Linked DNA regions of Tribolium castaneum. The protein of the gene in region 2 interacts with the protein of the main gene of each other region in a pairwise test. Links are inferred from orthologs where the notes say so. Each region holds a gene or a part of one and is shown on either strand. Other genes may lie near its edges.

Region 1 (3,861 bases), on a different chromosome or scaffold from region 2:
AGCACAAATGATTCCGGCACTTTGAAACATTTTCTTTGATCTTGTTGTCCCAACTCATACAAAAAACGCACATTAACTAATTGCACTGATTTGAAAAGTGCGGTATTGACGTCTCCCTATCTGTTCGACATTTAGTTGTACTAGCAGGAAGACGACATGACGTCACTGATTCTCCCCTCTACGCAAAGACGTCATCAAGCGTCGAATCGATTGGATTCACTTTGCAGCTTTTTCGAAATAGAGCGCTTTCAGATGGTTTTACTAAATAAAACTGTCTTGCAACAAGAGAAAATGGGACTGGAAATGGCACTCGTTTGAATAATTATGTAACCTGTATTTAAACCACTGAACCAGAAACTCGGAAGCGTCGCTTCTTGTTTTTTAGCCTTCACCTGTGTGGATGAGGTTTACAAATGTGTGGCTTTGAATTTCTTTATGCAGCAAAAAGAGTTTAAAAAACGAGTACGAGCGAAGCTTTGACTAGCTTTTCTTTGAGCTTTTATTACAGAATGATGCAAAAAGTACTGCCAGCTAATATTTATACCTAATTTACACCATTTTAATTTGTATCCCCTCTATTTGAATTAATTACCACATTAGAAAAAACAAATTAACAATTGCCTCAGAAAAAATATAATTTTTTAAAGATAAAAGTTTCCCGAAAAATGTTAGTCACCAAAAATGATACTGTGAAAACTCCAGGAGAATCCAGTGAGGCAGAGAGTATAGAATAGTTCGAACATAAAGAATCAATTATCGTGAGGTTTCATCAAAGATATTTTTTAATATGTATTAAAAAAGTTTTTTTTTCAATAAAATAATATACGCATTTTCATCAGCATTATATAAAGTTCGAGGGCTATCTTTATGCAACGAACGTATGTGAGTTACGTACCAAAACACCCGAGAATTTTAAGCGTGTTCGCATAAGTGTTATTCAAAATTTTTTTCGTTAGAACATTTTAATTTAAAAGACGTTGCTATGGGAAGCGTGTTTTAAAATAGTGAAAACACGTTGCTATCGGAAACGTGTTTTATAATCTAGGATTCAGATATTAAAAAGAAGGCTTAAAAGGTTACCAAAAAAATTAATTTTTAAGGTTTTTTTTTAATTGTATTTATTTATGAATTGTATAAAAACCATTTTAGATGATTCATTAAATAACACTAGTACTGTCTTAACAACAGTTTCAATTGGCCACATCCATAACAGATCACACGCATCGGTTTACAATTTTTGGAATTTTATGATTCTAATAAAAAAAAATATAATTAATTTTAGACCAGCCCCTGTACACAAAAAATTGAGTAAATAAAGTCCTGCAACCAAGAATACACCAATGTACAGTCCCTGACAAAAGTCGCGAACACTGTCAAACTACCACAACCTCACTTTTCGAACTAATTTTAGTGAACCAGCATAATTTCGTAATTTGTAATTATGTGTAAGTGACTATGGAAGTGTCCTCACTCATAAATTCATTGTCCCTAACCGACAAATCAAATATTTTCAACTTCGCTGCAAAAATTAACGAAGTACCCACCGAATTTGCAATTGGTACTTTCACGAATCAGAATCTCTTCGTGATCACACAATTCGGCAAATTGTACAGTTTGTACTCAGTCTCAGTGGACCAGACTGAAAACGGAGTGTGTGCCTCCGAACCTGTCTTTTCAGTTCATCAGTTATTTGGTAAAGAAAATATCTACGCAGAAGCTGCCGCCAGATTCATAACTAAAGAACTCAATATCAGGAAACAACTACTCATTTTCCTGAACTTGAAGGAGTATTCAAGGGACACAGTCCTCGGTATTGTTGAAGCTATTAAGAACTACTCCCAGGATAAAGATGTCTGCGGCAAAGAGAACAAAAGTTGCTGAGAATCACTTTGGCCAGGTTGTAATTGGGCCCCCGGGTTCTGGCAAAACCACGTATTGCGGCAAGGTTTACGATTTTTATAAGGACAAGTTGAACAGGAAAGTGGAAGTTGTGAACTTAGACCCAGCTAATGAAAATATGAATTATAATCCTGCCATTGATGTTATGAAGCTGGTGACTGTTGAAGACGTAATGGACACTTTGAAGCTAGGGCCCAACGGGGCCCTTATGTACTGTATGGAGTACTTGGAGGAAAATTTTGATTGGCTGTTGAAGCAGTTGATTGAAATTAAAAACAGCTACTTAATTTTTGATATGCCAGGACAAGTGGAGCTCTATACACACCATAATTCTATCAAGAATATTTTTGGGAAATTGGAGAAAATGGGCTATCATTTGTGCGCTGTCCATATGGTGGATTCGCACTACTGTTCAGACCCTTCAAAATTTATTTCAACCCTTTTATTGAGTCTTTCCACAATGATGCAAATTGCCCTACCACATGTTAATGTTTTAACAAAGGTAATAAACGAAAACATTTGTATAATTTGTGGACAATAAATTTCGTTCTAGGCTGATTTATTGAAAAAGAATGCGGATAAGTTAGATTTCAATATTGATTTTTATACTGATGTTCTAAACCTTGATTATCTACTAGACTTATTGGATGATGCACCACTTACAAGTAAATACAAAAAACTCAACAAGGCTTTGGTTGATTTAATTCAGGACTACAGTTTGGTTTGTTTTGTTCCATTAGATGTTAAGTCTGAGAGGAGTTTATTAAATTTGAAAAGCGCTATTGATAAGGTAATATATTATTTCAACCAATTTTAGTATTTTACTCATAAAAAATTATTTAGGCCAATGGCTACATTTACGGCAGCGGGGAGGAAAGAACTATTCAAGCCTTACTGTCATGTGCAGTTGGATCAAGAACCGAAAGTGAAAGATATGACGCTGATTTCTTTTAGTGTTTAATTTGTTTCACAAAATAAAAAAATTACTGCATTTTGTTTTTATTACTCCTAAATTTAAAGTAAACCTACCACTACTTTGCTGGAGGTTTGGCCTTCTGTTTTTCCAACTGGGCCCTAAAAAATTATTCGTAGCTCTTGTCCACAAACATCTAATTTTTTACCTCAATTGTTTGTTAAAGTCGTCTTCCACGTTATCATCCTCCCAGTTATCTTCCCAGACACTAATATCTTGCTCATCTTTGTCCTTCCCGGTCCAATCTGAAAGCAAGAGAAACAATTCTGCAAATCACTTTGTAACCTCAAATTTACCCTCAACCGGAAATTCCTCAAACTCATCGTCCTCCTCAAGAACACCAAGATCTAACTTAGGTTTCTCGGTCATGTTTAGATTTTGTTTTATCGATATAATTACAAAATTTGAACGATATGATCGTAAAAAGTTGAAACGTTATTTTCAGAAACTTTTCTAGAAACGACAATTCGATTTGCTTACATTACAGGAAACTGTATTTTTTTTTACATAATGCTGCAACCTGTGGTGGAAGGGCCAAACTTTTACAAATCTTACAGAATTTTCCGATTAAACATTTTTTATTTTTAACTAGATCGTGCAAAGAATTAAATTAGGGTATAATTTGATTATAAATTACAAAATAATTACCAATATTGTAAAAGTAGTATTGCTTTTATCGTGCAAAAACTTTTCTAAAAATGACAATTCGATTTGCTTATATTACAGGAAACTGTAATTTTTTACATGATGCTGCAATTTGTGGACGAGGAACCCAACTCTTACAAGTTTTACAGAATTTTCAGATTAATATTTTTTATTTTTAAAGATCTTGCAAAGAATTAAATTAGGATATGATTTCATTATAAATTAAAAAACTCACCAATATTTTGTACGTAGTATTGCTTTTATTGTGCAGAAACTTTTCTAGAAATGACAATTCGATTTACTTATATTACAGGAAACTGTAATTTTTTTTATATAGTGCTGCA
Region 2 (3,594 bases):
GCAGTACCCCAAAACCTTGTCCGACATGACGGTAAATTTACAAAAAAGTCATCTTTAAACGAGTCGCCTCTGATAAATCCGTGTAAAGCACCGAATTGTTCGTACCCGCATTCATCCCCTCTTAAAATAAAAATTCAATAACATTGCATCTGATTGGTTATTCTTACAGCAGTGATAGCCAATCACCGTCACGCCACGGGTGCTGTGCAAGTGCATTGGTGAGTAAGTCAGTGGCGGCGTCTTGGGGATGAAAACGGGGAGCATTTGTTGCAATCCAACTGCAACAAAAATGATTTAAATCATATGACCAATTAATTTTATTTGATTTTTACGTCAAATTGAATCTGACATGTTCAATATCGTTGGTGGCGTTGCTCAATAATCCATTAAATGTCACTCGGTGACGTTTGAATGGTTCCAGAATTTCCAAATGGAGGTCTTTTGTTTTCCAATGCCAATCTGATAGATTATACTGTTTTGTCTTTTTTTCACCTATTTATTAATAGAATTACAGTTAGATATGTTAATATTATTGTTTACCAGGAAATGTATAGATGGCGCCTGTTGAAAGCCGTAAACAAAGAAAAACCTCGCCTACTAGACCTGACCCAATTATAAAACGTAACGATAGACTATTGCCTTTTTGATCTGCTCCATATATAAAATAATTATCACAGTACTGTAAAAAAAATTATATTAATTGATACTAACTTATCTAATAGATTAGTTTAATGTTTTACATTTTCCGTCCGAATTTCTATTGGACTTTCGGTTATGTTAATTTTTGTTTTGAATTTGTTTTGATGTTTTTTGACGGCCGATTTTGCGATTAGGAATTTAATTATATAAAACCAATCTAAAATTAATCAAGTAAATACATAATTAATTATGGAAAGAAATAAATACCTCGGTTTGTGTAAAAACGATTTTTTGTCCGATGTTGGAATACAAGAACGTAGAGTGAGATCGGAATTAGAAAAAGTGTTACGTAATAACAAAAATTGAGTAAGAGCTCCATGGTCACGACTAGAAGTAATTTCGATTAAATGTTTCAAACAGGTGTTTGAGATAATAATAATTATTATCTAAACTTGAAATTTTAACTTATCTGCGTGAGCACTTTGGATTGGAGTTGGATAGAGACACATTTACAGATCAGTGATGTAAACATAAATCAAGGCCAAACAGATAATTGCATTGCTTATTATTACATGAAAGTATTAGTATCATAGGTCAATGCCATCATTCCGAAACGGAAGTGAACATTTTTGTGATTTAAATGTAATTTTCAAAAAAAGAACCCCAGAAAGTACGCCACTGGAGAATTTGTAAAAATTAAATTATGGGTTTTTTAAATCCAGTTAGTGCAAAAGCGATTACATGAATTGATTTAAAAGTTATTATATACAATCAAAAATTTTCTGTCTTGAGGCACAAATTTGCAAAGATTGTTTGAACCTAAATACACAGCTTCTGTTCCAACTGTCAAATGTCATGAAGCTAACCAAACTTTTTTTCCACTTTATTTTATGAAAAATGTCCGAAACGGGGGGCAAAGCTCCCGTGAGTGTAATAGTGCTTGGAATGGCCGGTTCTGGCAAAACTTGTCTTGTTACTCGCTTATCAAATTCTCCGAAAAAACCGTACGTTGTGAATTTGGACCCTGCTTGTTTCAATTTACCCTATTTCGCTAATATTGGCAAGTATTCGCGGGCGTCAAAGTTTTCTTGGGATTTAATGTTAAATTACAGATATTAGAGATACGGTAAATTACAAGGAGGTTATGAAGCAGTACAAATTAGGCCCTAATGGTGCTATCGTCACAAGTTTGAACTTATTTTCAACGAAATTCTCTGAAGTGATTGGTTTTATTGAAAAGTCGAATCATGATTTGTGCATTTTGGATACTCCTGGTCAAATTGAGGTGTTTACTTGGTCGGTTTCGGGTTCGATTATTACCGAAACTTTGGCTTCAACTTTACCAACAATCATTTTATACGTTGTTGATTGTGTGCGAAGTACTTCTCCTGTTACGTTTATGTCAAACATGCTTTACGCTTGCTCGATTTTGTATAAAACGCGTCTTCCTTTCATTGTTGTTATGAATAAAGTTGATATCGTTGATCATTCATATGCTGTTGATTGGATGACCGATTTTGAGTCGTTTCAACAAGCACTTGAAGCTGCTGACGACGAAAGCTACATCAGCAATTTGACGAGGTCTATGGCTTTAACATTGGATGAGTTTTACCGAAATTTAAAAGTTTGTGGAGTAAGCGCTGCCACAGGACAAGGACTTGAAGATTTATATAAACTAATAGACGAAGCTAGGATTTTATACGAAACGTAATAACTTTATTTCTATATTTTGTAGTTACTGGAATATTTATTTATTTATATCTATTTTAGTGAATATAGAAGCGAATGGTTGAAAATAAAACAACAATCAGAAGCACAAAAATTGGAAAAATCGAAAAATAATGAACAATGTTTTACGTTGTCGGCTGGGGCCGAATTGTCTGATGTTTTTCTAAGACATCCAGGTAATGACAGTAGTGAAGACTCTGAGGGTGAAGAACAGGCGGCTCCATATCAACAAAGTAGGGACTTGTTTGATTAATTTATTATTTGATTTGATTCTTTTATTAGATGTTGATAATGAAAAAGAAGACGATGTGTTTAAAAAAGTGCTACAACAACAAAGAGAAATGCAAGTGAAAAGGGCAAAAGAAGCAGAGATGAAGAAACACCAAACCTAGTAGGTAATTTATTAAATAAAAGGAAAAAATATAGAAAACAACAATTAAAATTTTATTCACTTGAAACTAGAAATAAATTACAATAAATTATTCAGATCGTTGGTTAAGAAAAAAATTAACACATTTTGTGTGTCAAAAAGAAAAAAAAAACCATAGCTGGTGTTAAGTTTTTTCTTAGGCACATCAATTGCGTACATATTTTTTCCTATTTTATATAAATATATATAATAATAAATAAATAAATGTCTATTGTATTTAGCGTTCAACATACAATTAGTTGGCACGCTTTTCTATCAATATAAAAATAAATATAGAAACTTTGTAAAATAAAATCAACTCTTCAATTAACACAAAAACCATTCTCAGTCAGAAACAAAAAAGAAAAAATGAAGCAATTAACAAAAAAACGAATTTTGTAGATAATTATCGCCTGCTCCCATATTTCTCACATTATTCGAATTATAATTTTGGAAGCGATTACGGTTTTGTAAATTATCAGGCGGCTGTGGTGGCATTTTCCTGAAGGGATTCATTGTCCCTCCTCGAAACGGTGGTACAAAACCTAAACACCCGAAATGCCAAAATTAAGTCAAAACCTCCGTTTCTTACCCCTGTTGTGCATTGAAAAACTCCAATTTTCCAAATATTGAGCTTTTTGACGGCCGTGATCTTCTGCTACGCGAACACTCAACGGAAGCATTGCGTTTTCAAGCAGTTTGCCATCAAGGTCGGCTATGGCAGCTTTGGCCTCTTCTCCTCGCGAAAAACTAAACGAAAAACAAATTATTATTTACAAAGTTTTAATAATTATTATTATCATCATTATTATACCGGA

What was found. The genes of interacting proteins can lie anywhere in the genome.
Region 1: the proteins of GPN-loop GTPase 1 (region 2) and GPN-loop GTPase 2 interact in binary tests that used the Homo sapiens proteins (3 or more experiments, as listed by UniProt). The link is inferred for Tribolium castaneum from reciprocal best matches to the Homo sapiens genes GPN1 and GPN2.

The regions. Positions count from the first base shown.
Region 1 is NC_087394.1:30,157,298-30,161,158, forward strand, and holds GPN-loop GTPase 2, read left to right. Parts: upstream 1-1,351; 5' UTR 1,352-1,849; coding exon 1,850-2,401; intron 2,402-2,452; coding exon 2,453-2,689; intron 2,690-2,742; coding exon 2,743-2,853; 3' UTR 2,854-3,332; downstream 3,333-3,861. Other genes in the region: uncharacterized protein LOC664179, read right to left, coding at 1-30. UniProt on the Homo sapiens protein: Small GTPase required for proper localization of RNA polymerase II and III (RNAPII and RNAPIII). May act at an RNAP assembly step prior to nuclear import.
Region 2 is NC_087401.1:17,593,826-17,597,419, forward strand, and holds GPN-loop GTPase 1, read left to right. Parts: upstream 1-1,394; 5' UTR 1,395-1,536; coding exon 1,537-1,699; intron 1,700-1,751; coding exon 1,752-2,346; intron 2,347-2,409; coding exon 2,410-2,600; intron 2,601-2,649; coding exon 2,650-2,759; 3' UTR 2,760-3,091; downstream 3,092-3,594. Other genes in the region: rifampicin phosphotransferase-like, read right to left, coding at 1-120, 168-278, 333-492, 541-679, 741-856, 907-1,018; Sxl (sex lethal), read right to left, coding at 3,155-3,321, 3,369-3,526, 3,591-3,594. UniProt on the Homo sapiens protein: Small GTPase required for proper nuclear import of RNA polymerase II (RNAPII). May act at an RNAP assembly step prior to nuclear import.